3 linked regions of the Nothobranchius furzeri genome follow. The protein of the gene in region 2 interacts with the protein of the main gene of each other region in a biochemical or structural test. Links are inferred from orthologs where the notes say so. Each region holds a gene or a part of one and is shown on either strand. Other genes may lie near its edges.

Region 1 (5,937 bases), on a different chromosome or scaffold from region 2:
TCGGGTTGGAGCATAAGGCTTTAACAGTTCAGTAATATAGGGAGGAGCTTGAACATGTAGAGCCGAGTTATTGTCAGGATTCTAAAATGAACTCTAAAGTTAACGGATTACCAGCCAACACCTTCAGAAACACCCATAAAGGCTTAAGTTTGTTATATTGGGCTTATAGTTATGGAAACATTCTGAAATAGTTGAATATTGTTGCATATCCTTCTATTTGCAGGATTTCTTTTCTGTGTCTCTATCTCGTCAGGGCAGAAGTCTGTCCATCCTGGTTCCCGTTCTGCTGAAGTGCTGCAGGAACCGTGTTGAAGAAAATCTTCAGATTTTTTCGTGACAACTTTAATTGCTTGAACTGGACTTTACATAGTTTGGTTTTAAAGAGGTTCTGCTTGTTTTGGACTAAGTGTAATGCATCAAATCAGTTAAAAATAATTAATAACTCATTTAAATTAGTCCCACATTTTTATTAACTAATATTACACTGATGTTATCAATCAGTATTTACGCTCCTCTAGTCCTCTCTCACCCCTGCTTCAAATCAACAAGATCTTTTAGAGAAGCTCAACAGGTTTGGTTTGAAGCGTCAGAAACTGGTTTTAAATGTTCTTATGCAAGAGAGTGACCAAACGCAAAACACAAAAGAACACTAAAAAAAGAACAGGGTAACATGGCAGGAAGGAAACGGGAATAACCTGACTCGAACCAGCTGGAGGCAAAGTGAGAGAGCCACACAAAACAAGTCAGTACAGAAACCGCAGACCAGAAAATTCACCGAGACCTTAAATACCTGCAGGAATTCAATCTTATAAATACGCACGACAGAATTACGCAATGATGACAACTTCATCTATTGATCAACAATCTGTTCACTTATGAGTAAAATGGTTTAATATGACTTTCCTCAACCATCAAGGGTTTGTTTTATAGGAACTTGAATGTATTCTCACATAAACATTGTAAAGAGGGAGATTTGAACTAGACACGTAAAAGATGCACGTGTGGAAGTGTGATGGCCACTATTTTAAAACATCTCAGCAGAGGCGATCAACACAAAAACAGCTGATTGGCGTCCTCTAGTGTCTGCTGGACATTCTCACACTGTTGGTTTCCTTCAGTAGAAAAAAGATATGAATGAATTAAACAGTTTATTTGGAATCAGTTACGATCAGATGTGATTAGATCTCCAAGTTTAGCATTTTCAGATCTTTTTTTGTTTTCCTTCTGGTGAGTTTTTTTTTTACTTAACTTCTCCAGTCAGAACAAAACATCTAAAAATTCCTACGTTAATCCTTTTTTATAGGATTATGTGCGTAGAATGACTGAGACAAGAACATCAGCTCTAATGAAAGGAAGACCAGACAGACTTGATAATTCTTGATCATTTCCAGGCTATCCTACTCTTTATTTAATGCAAATTACAGTACCAGGGAACTATTCCTCGGGGCACGCAGAGGGGAGTATTTACAGAGGCGCACATTTAGCATACCTTCACAGAACAAAAACAAATGAAAACTAAATAAAAAGTTCAGTCACAAACAAAGGCATTCAAGTAGTACTGTTATACAGGATGTTTTTGTAATAGTTTTTTTTTAATATTTTTTTTCTTCTCTTTAATCCCAGGTAGGCCCAGTTAGCACATCTGTAAGCTAGTATATGATACTAGTATTTATACTTGCTTTGTTTTTTTTTTTTTGGGTAACTGTTCTAGTATTTTGATGAACTGGGTGTTAAAAGTTAGGTTAAAGTGGTCAAACCTTGTGGAGGGTAGCAATACGCTCATGAATGCTAAATTACAGCAAGCAGGAGATGGGGGGGTGGGGGCTATTTGACTCAACCCCTTCGGTGCTACTGAACCCCCTCCCACCAACAGAATTAGGAGGGGGGGGGGGGGCGCAAGCAAGAGAACAGAGAAAAAGGAGTTATTGCCTCTGAGGATGGCTCGGCACAACTACATCAACGTTTGGCTTTGGTAACAGAACCAACACTGTCAGTGACACAAAGTCTCTACTGTATTATATGTACAGTATACCAGCCCCCCCCCCCCCCCCCCCTCCTGCCACCACCCACCTCAGTCCATGTGGGTGTGGGGGATTAAACATCTACCAAAATCAACAGGTGTCTAGTGAATCTGCAGTAAGGAGAGCCATCCTTACCTCTAAAGCCTATAATACAACTGCTGTGTGATTGGGGTGGGGGGTGAGTAGCACGACATTCAACAGCACCAAAGGGAGAGTCACAACATTGGGTGAGGGTGGAGACAAGGCGAAGGTGTATGAAAGCAAAGGCACTCCAAACTATAGTTACACTATACATGACTAGTCCTTGTTACAATAATACAGCGGTCTTCTAATGAACTGTACAGGTAAAGATTGAACATATGGCTGGATAAAGCTGATCATCTTCTAACACACCCATAAACATCAGTTTTGCCCTGATTTTAATGTTTTCCTGCTTTCTTTCTTCCCCGTCTTTGTTTTTGCTCATAAACAGTACATGGGTCTGCGTATATATACATACGGTGAACACAACATGGAAAACGACTCAACGCAACATAAAAAAATTAACATACAAGACGTACGAGTTTTGGTGAGGAGCATTTAGGCTGTATGTACAAATTCAGTTTCTTTGTTTCTTTTTTAAATGTAGAGAAGATAATTCGTCAGCCTGTAGTGAGCGGCTCTATGTGCTGTAGGTGGAAAGGAGGGGAAAACAAACACGTGGCTAACATTTCCGTCGACATGAGACAGCCTGCGGTGCACCGAGGACCGCCGCCGGGGCTTCGAAAACAGCCCAGACAAGAAAAAAGCGATCATCTGGAAGTCTCCAGGAGGAGGTGGACTGGGGGACACGTTGCATCGTCACAGACGCGATATTAGACGGAGTCGAAGGCAAAAGGAGCAGAGCAGCACCCTACATCCATCTACACAGGAGGAGAGGGAGGTGGCTGCCGGAGGCCAGCAACTCCAGATACAAAATAAAAACTTAGTGAAGTCTGTCGTCTTTGGGCGGCAGCAAATATTGCCACGGCTCCACCAGATATGAGCTCACCGTAAATGATTTCTGAACCACTGTAGATAATATACATAGAATCTATATATACTTTTTATACATAAAGAAAAGTATTATATAAAGTGTGTATGCGTATTTGTACTGTATGTATAAATCATACAAGCACACAGGACCAGATACACATCACGCCCATCACACACCCTCCAAAACAAATAACATCTGCCCAGGAGTACAAAATAAAAATAAAATAAAAACAGAATAAAAGAGCTTAATGCCTAAAAACAACCCCGGGCAAAAAGAAAACAAATGTCCAAATAATTCTACCCCTCCTCCTCCCTCCTCGAGGCGGGACTGCTCCCTTCCACATAGGATCATCATGCATCCGTGTGTGTGTCTTGAGTGTGTGTTTACGCGTGCGGGAGCCTCATGCCTTGTTTGCAGAAGTAGTGGTGAGAGGACATGACAGTGCCCCCTCCCCTTATTGTACTCAGGTCATGCACTACAGAAGGAACCGAGGGAGACGGGGGAGAAGTGGGGGGATGCAGGGAAACGGTACAATATAAGGAGAGGACAGGTTGACGGGGACAGCGAAGGACTTTTCTACAGATTGTCCTCTTGTGGATGTCTAGCGTGGTGTATACGTGTGAAGTTTAGTACAGTCAGCAACACAGGCGGCCCACGCTTCGCTTTCAGGTGCCTTTAACGGAGGAGGGGAGGAGTTCGAACACCTGCTTATGGGTCAGGGGAGGGCTCAGGGATGCCTGTGTTTTTGGGGGTGGGAGGGGGATTGTTTAGCTGTTGAACCCAGGCTGCCTCAGCATAGCTGCGCCGCTGCCAGGGAGGAGAGCGAGGCAGGAGCAGAGCCGATCGGAGCTCACCCCCTGGTCAGGGCAATGAAGAGGCTGTGGGCTGGGGCTGTGGGCTGAGGCGGGGCCGGGAGTTCTGTGGGCTCAGGAGATGGAGTTGGAGGCGGAGGCGGTGGTGGTGCTGGGACCTCGCTCTGTGCTGCTGCCGTCTGTGAGCAGAAAGCAAAGTCAGTGATGCTGCTTTTAATGGAAACCAGAAAACTCAAAACCATCTGCTGATAATGAAGAGATTCTGAGTTTCACATTTATTATTTAAATCAAATTTCTTGTAAAAAATGTATTCAAACATGCAATGAACTGTTTAAAGAGTTTCAATAACGTACCATTTAAATCTGTTTAGAATAGAATAGTCATTGTTGAGGGTTGATGCCATAAATGTTTCCTTCAAGGTGGTGATTACAGAAGTTCTGCCCTCTTGAATTATAAAAAAAATAGTGTTTTGAAGAAGAAAGCTCTGCAGGTACCTGTGGTGGCAGACGCGTTGGTTGGAGTGGAGGCGGCGGCCTGGCTGCGGGCGTGGGCTGGGATGAGTATGGAGGCCAAAGAGGCATTACTGGATAGCTCTGAAAGATAATGAACATAAGTTATCAGGTCATGTTGTTACAAAGCCACCCTGGAGATAAACTCCCAGATGGCAACAAGACATTCTGAAAGCAAAATGTAAAGAAGCACAAACTAAAGAAAATACAGAGGATTTCAGCTGTTACTGTTCGTGTTTGTGGCGCGTACCCTGGGTGGTGAAGTTAAACAGCGAGGGTTTCTCTCTGCCGTTGGGAAGCTTGACATTGGGGTCACGCAGCTCGTCAAAGAAGGAGTGAGCACAAGCCTCTAGAGGGGTGAGGCGCGCTGTGGGCGTGTACTCTAGCAGGCGAGAGCACAAGGCGATGGCCTCTGGAGGTGTGCGAGGCCGGAAGACCTGAACGACAAATTACAGACACAAATCAACAAGATGACTGTTGCTCGACGAAAGGTATTTGAGGACAGCTAACACATTTGTCAACATGTAAAAGCCTAGAAACAAAGTTCATTTATTTTTTTCCAACACATTTGCAATAGTCTCTAGTAAAAACGAATGCCATGTTAGTTAATCTGTGTGATAAAAGCTCTGACACTCCTGTTTCAGGAGCTAGACGTTAGCCAGAGCAGATGACGGCAGGATTTGGTGTCTCTCTTACTGATACCTGCACATCTCACCTGACTGGCTAACAGCAACGCGACTCTACCACCTCCTTCATTTCCTCTGCAATGGTGATGTTTTATCTCCACAAATAACACAAGTCAGGAGGAGTTCTGTCAAGTTGTGAAGTTGCTAATGCTAATGGTTAGCTTCTACTAGCCAAAATATGCTCTACTCTCTCCTGGACGCTAAAACAACAACAGCCTTCTCCGTCAGGAGCCAAGATGGGTGAGTCTATAATTGCTAATTTTCAGTGTGACGTGGATCTGATTGGCTTTTCTAACCTAAGCATTTCTCCATCTATTTTCTATTCCCGACTAATGCAGGAAATAGGGGTAGAAGACTATTCTAACGTTTAACCTGCATGATAAACTCAGTGTGACCGATCTAACTCAAAAATAACAAGTAAAAAATGGTTTGTGAGTACATTTCTGTGGGGAAAAGGCTTTGGCGCTCCTGTTTCAGGAGCTAGAAGTGAGCCACGTTGAACTTGAGCTTCAGACGGCAGGACTTGGGAGTCTCATTTGCTGATTTTCTGACATCTTGCTTCTAATTGGCTAACAGCAACAAGACTACCACCTCCTCCATTTGCTCTGCAACATTGATGATTTATCTCCATAAATAAAACACGCCTGAAGGAGTTCTAATGTGGTGGAGCTGCTAATGCTAACTGTTAGCTTCTACAAGCAGAGAGGCACTCTGCTGTTTCCTGGACGCTAAATCAGCAACAGCCTTTCCAGTCAGGAGCCAAGATGGGCGAGTCCATGAATGCCAATTTGACATTATGATGTGCTAAGGTCACTGGCTTTTCTAATCCGAGTGTTGTCCCGTCTATTTTCGATCAGAAGTTGATGCAGGAAATAGAGGTGAACTTGGCTTTTA
Region 2 (6,219 bases):
TACTTCTGAGGAGCGGCGACGTTTCCTTCTTCACATATTTCCCGTGTACCTCGGCTGGTTTCGACGCTTCGTTTTTACTTTTCTTTCGTGAGAGCATAACTCAAAGCTCAGAAACGTCAAAAACTCGGCTGTGATGTCATGGCACAATCCTCCGCAGCCCTGGCAGGAAACAACGGGCGGAATGTGAACATTTTCTACAGTTAGCGCTTAGCCGGCTAGCTGCTGCTACAGCGAGCGATTGCAGCGATTCAGTCCCACAGCTGGCCCTCCTCACCCGGGCTGGGTGTTTACGATCCTCCCAGCTACTAAAGCGCCCTCTACCGGATAGCAGGCGTACAAAAACGTACAAAGTGTGTTGACAAAACACGAAAAAAATAAAACAATGGACACTTTAACTAGTGCTTTTATACTCTTTATTTCCAAGTTCTCACCTTATTGTAAACACGCTTTGTGAATAATTGCCTCTTTAACTAAACATTGTTAGAGAGAAAAGTTCAACTATAAGGAAAATAAAACCATGAAAACAAAACTATAAAACTTTGAATATGGCTAAATAATGCTAATATATTCACCATTATTTGATTTTTATTAACCACCAACCACAGCTCATACACTTTATTTTCACATCACCCTAATTTCACTTTAGTGTTCATCACTGCAGAGAAAGTCAAGCATTCATAATGGCACCGTCTAACAGTAACTTTACATATTGCAGTATAGTTTCACAAGCATATTTCTATTTTTCTTAATATTACTATTTGACATACATTAAAAGTGTGCAGAGTTTCAAGTAGTGTTAAATAGGAGCAAAAAACCTCCATTACGATTCATGATTTTATCACAAACCGATTCTGGTCCTTCATCGTATGGCTGCTTACAAATAAACAATGAGATAAAAACACCTGTATCAAAATACATAACAGTGCTACATTTCTCATATTATATATATATATATATATATATATATATATATATATATATATATATATATATATATATATATATATATATATATATATATATATATATATATATATATATGATACAACAGTTTCTACTTTAAGATATTTGTAAAATAATAAATTACAGAGAAATAAAATGTCTAAAATATGACTTGATATTTGCAAGTTCAGCAACTTAGAATAACAAAAATACTGCAAAAATCCAAGTAAAAAATTGCAATAGAACCTTCAGATTCTTGTCCATTTGGTAGGATTTGCTACAGAGGTGTCCCTGAAGGTAAAAGTCCATTTTACATAGAGAACATTAAAAGAAAATGAGATGCTGAGATGTCATCATGCGTATTTACAGTTATAAGAAAGCCCTGGAAGATAAGACGGGTTTAGATCCCGTACAATCTTATTCAGGGTGGAGATCTTCTCCTCCAGCAGGTAGTTCTTTTTCTCTGCAATTTCATGTCGCTGCTCAGTTCTCTCCAGAGCCTTTACCAGATGGGAGTTCTCCACATACAGGTCTTTGATCAGAACATCAGCTTTGCCATTCTTGTTCAGCTAAGAGAAAAAAAATACATAGAAAGTTACAGATAGTTTGAGTCTTGATTGGAAACATATTGGTCCAAAATATACAGATCAGATGGATTAGAAGATTAGTAACTGGAAAAAATTGTTTTACTAAATCCAAGAATGCAGTCTTTCCTAAATTTGAAGTTTAATTCAGCGTTTTACTGCCCCCTTTTGGTGTCACGAACAATTACATCAACATATATTGATGCAATTATTTTACCATTAAACCAGCCAGACTCCTAGAAGCTGAGACCCTCTGACCTTTTGCTTGCTTGCTTGCTTGCTTACGTAGCTTGTTTATATAGTGACAAATTTATTGGTTTTCAGGCAAAATATAAAAGCTTTCTCAGGAGCTGATAACAAAATGCACAAACAAAACAACCCACTGTATCAGATCATTTGGAAAAACAATGGAAAATATAAAGTAAAATGTGAAATTCACCAGTTTGGATCCTGAAAGGTTACTCTAAAGGAATAAATGTTTTTTTTTAGGATGAAATGTCTGTACTTAAAAATAAAAAAACCTGGGAATTTGGATCTGAAATTCCTGCAATCTGACATCAGGTAAAATTGGACAAAAAAGTTATTCTGATTATTTGTGAAATTGGTCTCTTCTTTTTGATCATTCTAACAGTTTAGTTTTGGTTTTTCTGGCTCATCCCTTTAATTATGCTGCTATAAACCTGAACTGCTGGAAGCCATACTGACCACACTCAGTTGGATTTACGCTCTTTAATGCCAGGTTTGTATTTACTGTTATTGCTGTGACTAACTTTGTTCATCATCATTAGAAACAACAATTGGCCCCATCCCTCAGAGTTATCCAGTCTCTCAGATCCCAGCTGGCCGAGGCAGAAGGCTGCTCCATTCTGAACCTGGTTCGGTTTCTGCTGCAGTTTCTTCCTATTAAAAGAGGAGTTTTACTTCCCACTGTGGCCCATCACACAGCGCTGGCTCAGAATGAGGGATTGTGTTGAAGTCAACATATAATACAATTTGCTGGTTCCTATGGTGACCCAGAAGGCTCAACACAATACCAAAACCTACAACAGAAGTCATGATAAATGGGGAATAAATATTTAAATAAATAAATGAAATAGCATGAAGGAGAAGTTGTGGTAGAATGGAACTTGAGCTAAAACGAAAGTTAAGCTAATACCTTTTTTATGCAAATTAGGAAAAACAGCCTTGCAGCATTGAGACCAGTGACCACAGGATTCAGGATGGATTCCAATACAACCCAGAAAGTAATAGTACATCTACAACTCCATAGCTACTGAAGTAAATTGCCATTCAAGATGGCCGCCATAGTAAACCGCAGAAGAGAAGATGGACTGACCTGGTCATTCAGCTGAGCGACCTTCTCCTTCAGCAGCAGCTTTACGTTAAACAGCGACAGTTCGATTTCCTTCATGCGCTCCTCCATGTTCTTCATCTTTCGCTCCCGCTCTTCCTGGGAAAAACAATCAGGAATGTCACCAGATCACAACATTAGGGAGTGTTTTACATTATAACAGCATCAAAGCTGGTAAACATGGAAGTCAAAAACTTATGGGCCATTATTTTTGTTGACTAGTTTTATTTTTGTCTGATCTGTATGCAGTTTTAGGTACATTTCTGAAGAAAATATAAAAAAATATATATAATTTCATTTATTAAAAATAAACCTACTAAAATAATGCATAAATAAAATAAATACTATCAGAAGTAAAAAAATAAACCTTAAATAACAACAAAAGAGTTTAAAATCGAAACATGGTGGAAAACATCTCATAAAGTGGCTCAAAACCCAAAATACACAAGTGACAAAAACAATTAACAGTGTATTCATGGCACAGCACTTAATAAATATTAAATAATCAGTGAAATAAAATTAACAGTTTAGTGAAAAAACAAAACAAAATCAGGAAGTTGTGATTCGCTTTGGTTGTGCAGCAGCAACAAAACAGGTCCAACACATTTAATTAGACAGAAAACATCAGCCTTAAAAAACAAAAATACATAATAAAATGCATTTATAGGTCATCAAATGGGACAATGTACAGTCAGACAAGTAACAGGTGTGTGTGTGTGTGTGTGTGTGTGTGTGTGGGGGGGTCTGATAAAAACAAACAAACAAAACAACAGTGATCTTCCATTATCATTAGGCAACAAAAAGGTGTGGCCTCTGAGGATCTATACCCTGTCACAGTTATTAAAACAAACAAGTGCATCACTGAAAATCTACAGAAACACAAATCCAGCATTAAAAAGGTTCCCTGTAATGAAGACAAACGTGGAAAGAAAACTCCAATTTGTCAAAATGTAACAGTAGTCTGTAGTTTTTAAAATTTCCCATCATCCCTTTGGGAGAAACCACAGGTTCACCCTGTGTGTGTTCCTGCCAGCTGGCAGCAGAGAAATCCAATCACAACCTGAGAATCGGGACCCACCCAATCTCCTACAAGGATGCAGTTCAGATGTTTCTGCTCCAAACGTCGCCGAAGAGCCAAAGCTAAACTTAAGCGAAGAGGAAAGAGGCGGGCGTCACAATCCGCCGATCCGCCTGTAGCTGTCAGCGTGAGCGGCCCGTTGATCTGGCATCGGATCCTGAAGAGACAAGGCAGGAACACTTCACCAGAGTTCTACCCCTCCGCTAACCCTCTACACCCACAGAGAGAATCATCATCAACACGGAAACGCTAAAATCCTGAAGACGGCTTTCATTCGGCTCCGTTTCTGGATGATTTTGATGAAAAAACAACAGAAATGATAGATTGAGATGATGATTGTACACAAATGTATGCAGGCAAGTTTTTTTTTGTTTAAGTTTTTAAAAAGAAAAATAATAATATCTACCCAGCAGGGGTGTAACGGATCGCGAGGGGGTGTTGAACTGTTTTGGTTCGGGCCACTTGCGTACGGTTTTGATTTATTTTTTTTTTCCATTAAATAAATTTTTATTTGTGTGATTTAAGTGCAGCGGATAAAAGTTCCTAGGCGAGTTTCCACACGGACGATGTATTGAGTGACGCATGATGGCTGCACGCGCCCGATCTCCGTTCAAAAAATGTGATCTGCAAATTCTGATCAACGCCTTTCAGAGCGGATCAAACCCGCTGGCTGTCGCTGCTACTGGAGCCCGTAGAGACGCGTCGAGTCGCCCCTCCCTTATGGCAAGCCAAAACCGTCACAATACGCCACTTTCCCAACCCGTCTAGTTAAGAAATGGCGAAAAAAACGCCGTTTGATGTGCCAAGACGTCGTAAAATACGGCGAAAACTCTGCCAGAACGCCGTAATTTACGCCGTTCTGAACGGTCCCGTAGAACGCCCGTAAAATACGCCGTTTTTTCCGGACATTGAACGCCGTTTTTTACGTCACCCTAATCCCAGACGCGTTCTCTGTGTGGGTGGCGTAAAATACGGCGTTTGGTACGGACATTGAACGCCGCTTTTTTCGCCGTCCTGTGACATAAAACGCCGCTTTTAACGCCACTTTGTGACAGTTTTAACGCGTTTAAAATTCAACTTTACTCTCATTTATGTAGAGCCCTCCCCATGGGTTTCTCATCCACTTAATTTAAACTCCAGTGACCCAATGAAAGACGAGGAGGTTGAGGCAGCACTAATTCATCCCAGATTCGCCGGGCTGTCGGGCTGTGCGGATTGCTGTTTTCTAATACAACTCGGCTCTGTTTCAACTAATTTCACTGTATTGAAAAAGCCTTGAAATGTAGTAATATTATCAACAATGTGTCGACATTATTATTTTTTCTGTCCACCTGTAAAAGGCAGAAACGCTGTTTCAGTCAGACCTGATGATTACTTAAAAGTGTGGCTGCCGTATCAGTCTGTCCTCGTGGCTCGTGAGTCCAGCTGAAACATCAGTGCTCTTTCTGTCCAAAACTCCATTCTTCTTAAGTTCATCCACTTTCAGTATTTACTATTGTGACAGTGTGTGTGTGTGTGTGTGTGTGTGTGTGTGTGTGTGTGTGTGTGTGTGTGTGTGTGTGTGTGTGTGTGTGTGTGTGTGTGCTGTCGCAACGTCCCGATTGATGATGTGCCCTGGCTACTTGGCCAAGGGGATGTTCCTTTGGCTGACTGGTTAGAGCGTATGACTCTCACCCGGGAGTCTAGGGATCGAATCCCGCCCGAGCCCTCGTTTATCCACCTGGCCACACTGTTGTTTTTTGTTTTTGTTTTGTTTGTTTGTTTGTTTAACGACTGTTATACTTGTCTTACAGGAGCTTCTGAAGATGTTCTGTCTTGCTTCTCCATCATCACTCTCCAGCTCCTCAGACCAGCCACTCCAGAACCTTCCCAGATCCAGGATCAGAGCACTTTAATTAAAGTTTGAAACATGTCTGCTTGTTGTTCTCCTATAGAAGCCTTAAACTAGAATTTGCTAATGAGCTTTCTTGGCTAAAATATGCTCTTGAATGTTTTTATTTACATAATCAAGAAACACGTTTTTCATTGCTGCTTCACCAAGACATGACTGAAAATGTCCTCAAGATCCTGAAACGCTGGTTAAAACAAATTACTTTTAACCTCTTATAAAACAAACGTGTCTGTTGATGATTATGCCCACTACAATACTGAAGCACCTGCATACTTGCTACCGATTTGCTAACTTTCTGTAATATTTGATATTTAAGTTGAAAACATGAAATGCTGTAACACAAATTCCAAATGTTCTAGTTGAGCACTTGTTT
Region 3 (5,382 bases), on a different chromosome or scaffold from region 2:
AGGAGGCGCGCGCATGACGACGCGCACGCACACACACACACAGCAGTTGCATGCCATTTTTTTCAGAAAGCAGCAGTAAAGGTCTGTTTTCTTCATCTTGGATTGCAAATTTAACACACACACACACACACACACACACACACACACACACACACACACACACACACACACACACACACAATAAGTACATAAATTGCCAATTCTGCTTACGAGCTGTAAATCAGTTCTGTCATGTTTTGTCCTGGGTCGCCCCCTAGTGAACAAGTTGGTTAACTACACCCAAAAGTAACTTGTTTATCTTGCCACAATTTACTGGCCAGGCAAGCCAACATGTATGGATGAATATACAGTCTGGCCATTACATAAATAAATAAATGAAATACAAGTAAATGGGGCTATAAAAGTTATTTTCTAATCTGCTTTGCCCCAAATCATATGTATGTTGTACTTTAATTTAAATGAAAATAAATAGTGTTTCAACTATGTCCATCAAGTACTTAGAGATTTAATAGCTTTTAAAAATTGTTATTAAAGGCACACAATGTACATTTTTCATATTTTAAAATCATTTTCTTTGAGCAAATATGTGCTAAAATAACCCTTTACACTGGGTTAAAGAAAAATCACTCAGACTCCACCACACTTGCAACTTCAGAGTATCCCGGTCCTTGTAAATCAATAGTAAAGTGGAGCTGACATGCTAGCGCTGCAGTCTGCTTCCAGCACATGATTCCTACATAGTTTAGATCATGAACACAGCTGATTGGTTTTAGTGATGAAACGCTCTGACACTAACGAAGGCTAAGGAGACATTTCAGTAGTTAGGTGAAGGTGTTAAAAACACGATTGCGCAAAGAAGAGTTTCACTTTTGGGTTTATGACAGTGAATTATTAATAGTCTCTAGGGGTGCTCAAAGTAAGCCAAAACTACCAATTGTGTCTTTAAACTTATTTTCTTTCTCCTCTTCTCCATGTTTGATTACATCAATTTGGTAATGAAGTATTTTCACACAAAACCTAAAATAACTTCTGCCGCCTATCATCATCAGTGCTTTCCTGGCATCAAAACATTTTTTTAAAATACACAGACATATTAAGAGAAATCTGTTGCACACAAGAAAATACCATCCCCTCATAGATCCCCATTCATTATTTGGGCAGTTGTGGACCCATGGTCCAGAAGTAGATGGGTGTGACATGTACGTTAACACATGCTTTTTTATTAAATAAAGGACATAAGAACCTTTATCTGCTCGTGACTCACAGAAAAGTCCAAGTCAGCCCAGTTCATTACACACATCCTTCCTTATGAATGCAGTCAGACACTTTCCTCCTAGGTATTCAGCGTTATAATGAACTGGTTTAAGCTGTAAACCCACTGGGCTGATTAATCGGAGGCTTCCCCTATTGGGAAGTATGAATTTGAGCTGGGCTATCAGTAAGCAGTGTGTGTTCTGGCCCTGGTCGGCCTGAAGCAGGCCACCTCGGGAAAAGGGCTGAAATAGTCCAGTTGCACCCCAAAAAAGGCAGGCTATACTAATGTGGACACTCTCTGTGCTATCCAGAGCATGCAGAGCTGATGCTAGTGGGAAAGGCCCATAATGGGAGTGTAACTAAACAGACGGTCTAGATTTCTAGGCTAAGGCTAATGATTTTCTGGTGTATATTTTATATTTTTTTACTGGTTTTAAAGAGACAATGTGTAGTTTTTACCATAAATTTCTGGAAACACCCATCAAAATGTTGTTGAAAATGAATTAAATGATGCCCAGTTGGTGAAAAATATTGGCAGCTTTGTAACATAACCATAAAAATCAGGTCATGGGAGTGGGTCTAAGTCTCTGGGCGACACCATATTAGATGCCATGTTTCCTTCTACGGGAGCCCATGAGGACAAAATGCATTTACTGATTTGTAACAAACGGTTACGACATGTTCTCCATCCATAAATGTTTTTCAAATCTACCTCTTCGCTTGTTGCCAGTGATGAATGGGAGTCTGATGTGCTTGTTATTTTGTCAAAGTTTGCATTCTCTAGGGCTTTTTGACCCTAATGGGCATCCGTTGGTAATGTCTTACTCCAACACAAAAATACTGCTTTCATGCAATGATTTAGGAATCTACTGCCCCCATCACCAGGAAAAATGCACACCATTACTTTAAGTGAAGCAGTCACTCAATGAATTTTATATTAAAACATTTTCTTCAGAAATCCAACTAATGTGATCTGAACCATCACTTGTGATAAAAATTTACTTAGAGCTACAATAAATGATGTGAGATGTTGAAGACAAGACAATACAGATAATTTAGTTAAACCTTTTAAAGAAAACTTTATTTTTTACTGAAACCAACATGCTCAAAGTTAGAGCTCTCTAGCGCCCTCTGCTGTCTCACATCTGTGCAGAAATAAAAAAATAACCTACTTCTCTCAGGTTTTCTGAACTTCAAGCAACACATTTAAAAAAAGTCTTGTTTGCTTATTTCAAGTAACCTTTCATAAAAAGCACAAAGATTTTCATAATTATTACATTTTAAATATTTACAAACAGGATGTCGTTGAGAAGAGAAATAATTCAGGATACGGTAAAAGCAGACAAAACAATGTGGCTCAAGATTCTGTAAAATAACAGGAAGTGGAAAAGTCGAGTAATCAAAGCAGATTCTGACAAATCAGCTTACAACTGATGCTCAGAGGTCAAAGCCGATGGTGCTTTGTCGTACACTCCATCAGGAAAACCCTCACTGACTGGTCTCCTCGGCATTCAGAGTCACGGGCTTCTTGGTGGAATATTCTAGCACCCAAGGGTGGGACAGGACTCCCTGGATGGGCAATCTGTGCATGGGATTGTGCTTCAGCAGCCTCGCTACCAAGTCTTTGGCTCCAGCACTGATACTGGTCTGTGGAGGATATGTGTACTCCACCTAAAGGAGGGAATGAAATCATGACAGGTAGAATCGTAAATAACAGAAGCTGTGAATTAGCAGTTTTAATAAGGACAGAATTGTACATATTTACTCATAGTTTTAATACATTTGCAGCAATTTCTAGCTGGAATTAATGCGTTGTAAGTTGTTGACTGCAGAAAAAAAGCTCCAGAGCGCCTGTTTCAGCACGGAGAATTCCAGTTAGAGAAAGTAGCTTCAGATGGCAGGAATGAGTTTTATTTCCTGATATTTGAACACCATACCTCTGATTGGATAACAGCAATGCGACTTCACCACTGACTTCCTTTGCAACACCGATGTTTTACCTCCAAAAATAACAAGTCTGAAGGAGTTCTGCCATACTGCGGAATTGCTATTGCTAACAGTTAGCTTCTGCTAGTCGAGACGTTCTCTGCTGTTTCCTGGACACTAAATAAACAGCTTTTGCCGCCACGAGTCAAGATGAGTGAGTCCATGAATGTCAAGATTTTCTGAGCAGAGGTTTTTCTGTCTATTTTCTATCAGAAGCTAATGCAGGAGATAGGTGAAGACAACTATTTTCATGTTTAGGCTACACGTGAAACTTGGACACTGATCATTTTCTAAAATAAGTAAAAAACTGTTTCTCAGTGAGCCTGGCCTTTAAGTCTGCAGATCTGTACACAACAGAAATAAAACTATTTTAGGAAAACATCCAACTGATTTCCTTACAGAAAGTACAATTTCAATTTGATTCACAATTAACTCGACCCAGCTTTAGCACAATGTACAGTAACAATAACATGCCAGATTATGACATCATGACCAAGAGTGTACGGTCGGTAAAGACGGCTCTCCCTTGCCCTGCCTCCATCTAAAAGGCTAGGTTATCCAGAGTTATCTCTGTAGTTATGCTGCTATAGGCTTAGACTGCTGGAGGATACACTGACCACTTTCCACACTCTACTACTTTCATCTACAACTTTAACTGTATTATTTCCTGCTATTTCAGTTGTTAACTTTATTTTTTCTCTTTTTCTCCCCAGAATAAGCAACAATGATGTTCTGCTGAGCTGTGGTGGCCTCATGGAGGGGGCCATCATCTAGCACACTACTGCTAACCATTTAAACATTCTCCCTCTCCTGATAATAACTTTTTGCTTTCCTTGACGTTGGATGTGCTACAACTAGTTTACCCATTTAATTATAGATTCACTAGGATAAATACAATAAAGTTTATCTCTCATCAAATAGAATATTTACTAAGAAATCACGATGTAACCATAGAAACATTACTTGGTGTGCGTGCGTGTGTGTGTGTGTCTGCTCTGTCTTCTCGATCCCCAGTGAGTCGTGGTGGATGGCTGCTTATACTGAGTCAGGATCCTCTGGAGGTTTCTTCCTGTTAAAAGGGAGTTTTCCTCTCCACTGTCGCTAAATGCTTGCCTAGTATTAGGATTGCTGTAAAGTCTGATGCAATTTGCTGGGTTCCTTATATAAGAAACATTTTTTCATATTGACTTAATGAACTGACCTGGATTGGAATGTTTATTATGTGAAGTGCCTTGAGATGACTCTTGTCGTGATTTGGCGCTATATAAATAAACTTGAATTGAACGAGTATTTATACATGTTTTGATTTTTCTTTAAATTAGACACACCAAAACAAAAACAGCTGAGTCTCATACCCTTGAAATCTTGCGGTAGGTTTCCTCATGAGTTTTTGCTTCAAAAGGAGGATGTCCAACTAGGAACTCATAGCAGAGGACCCCCAGGCTCCAAAGGTCCACCTTTTCATCATGGGTTTTGCCTTCAATCATTTCTGGGGGCAAGTAGTCAAGTGTTCCACACAGAGTGGACCTTCTGCAGGGGTAAAAACATTTCTAAAATAGGACTTTATTATGCAAGGACAGAAAAGATCGTCACACAAAGAAAAACCAGACAACGATCCTCAACATCAGCAGACCAGAGCCCATAAAACACAGTAAGAAGTTGCATTAAACACATCTGCGTACCTGGATGAAGGGGTGTGAACAGACCAGCCAAAGTCAGCGATCTTCAGCTCCCCGTTGCCTCCCAGGAGCAAATTCTCTGGTTTGATGTCTCTGTGGATCACATTCTTGATGTGGCAATAGTGGAGAGCATCTGCCAGCTCCATAATGTACTAATAACACAAAAGAAAAAACAGTAAGTGGAATTAAGAGTACACCTTCAATAAACCTGTGGAATGTTGACTGTGTTTGAAGTTTGAAGTGTTTTTAACTTACTGTTGCACTCCTGTCTTCTGGGAAACTTCCACACTTCTGCAGCTCGCCGTACAGCTCTCCCTTAGGTGCAAACTCAAGGATGAGATACACACGGGTCGCATCATGGAAGTAGCCATAGAGACGAAGGATGTTCGGATGCCTGTATGAAACCCATGCAGGAGAGAATTCTGTGAAACTGTCTTAAAGGAACTCAAGACAGAGGATAAAG

The links.
Region 1: of the proteins of nin (region 2) and gsk3ba, one has a biochemical effect on the other in vitro, tested with the Homo sapiens proteins (2 studies listed by BioGRID and IntAct). The link is inferred for Nothobranchius furzeri from reciprocal best matches to the Homo sapiens genes NIN and GSK3B.
Region 3: of the proteins of nin (region 2) and aurka, one has a biochemical effect on the other in vitro, tested with the Homo sapiens proteins (2 studies listed by BioGRID). The link is inferred for Nothobranchius furzeri from reciprocal best matches to the Homo sapiens genes NIN and AURKA.

The regions. Positions count from the first base shown.
Region 1 is NC_091754.1:24,486,285-24,492,221, reverse strand, and holds the end of gsk3ba (glycogen synthase kinase-3 beta), read right to left. Parts: intron 4,795-5,937; coding exon 4,608-4,794; intron 4,442-4,607; coding exon 4,343-4,441; intron 4,028-4,342; coding exon 3,963-4,027; 3' UTR 2,043-3,962; downstream 1-2,042. UniProt on the Homo sapiens protein: Constitutively active protein kinase that acts as a negative regulator in the hormonal control of glucose homeostasis, Wnt signaling and regulation of transcription factors and microtubules, by phosphorylating and inactivating glycogen synthase (GYS1 or GYS2), EIF2B, CTNNB1/beta-catenin, APC, AXIN1, DPYSL2/CRMP2, JUN, NFATC1/NFATC, MAPT/TAU and MACF1.
Region 2 is NC_091758.1:19,780,996-19,787,214, forward strand, and holds the end of nin (ninein), read right to left. Parts: intron 2,977-6,219; coding exon 2,863-2,976; intron 1,512-2,862; coding exon 1,296-1,511; 3' UTR 1,169-1,295; downstream 1-1,168. Other genes in the region: sav1 (protein salvador homolog 1), read right to left, coding at 4-97. UniProt on the Homo sapiens protein: Centrosomal protein required in the positioning and anchorage of the microtubule minus-end in epithelial cells. May also act as a centrosome maturation factor.
Region 3 is NC_091743.1:61,019,818-61,025,199, reverse strand, and holds the end of aurka (aurora kinase A), read right to left. Parts: intron 5,314-5,382; coding exon 5,175-5,313; intron 5,072-5,174; coding exon 4,923-5,071; intron 4,771-4,922; coding exon 4,596-4,770; intron 2,926-4,595; coding exon 2,743-2,925; 3' UTR 2,309-2,742; downstream 1-2,308. UniProt on the Homo sapiens protein: Mitotic serine/threonine kinase that contributes to the regulation of cell cycle progression.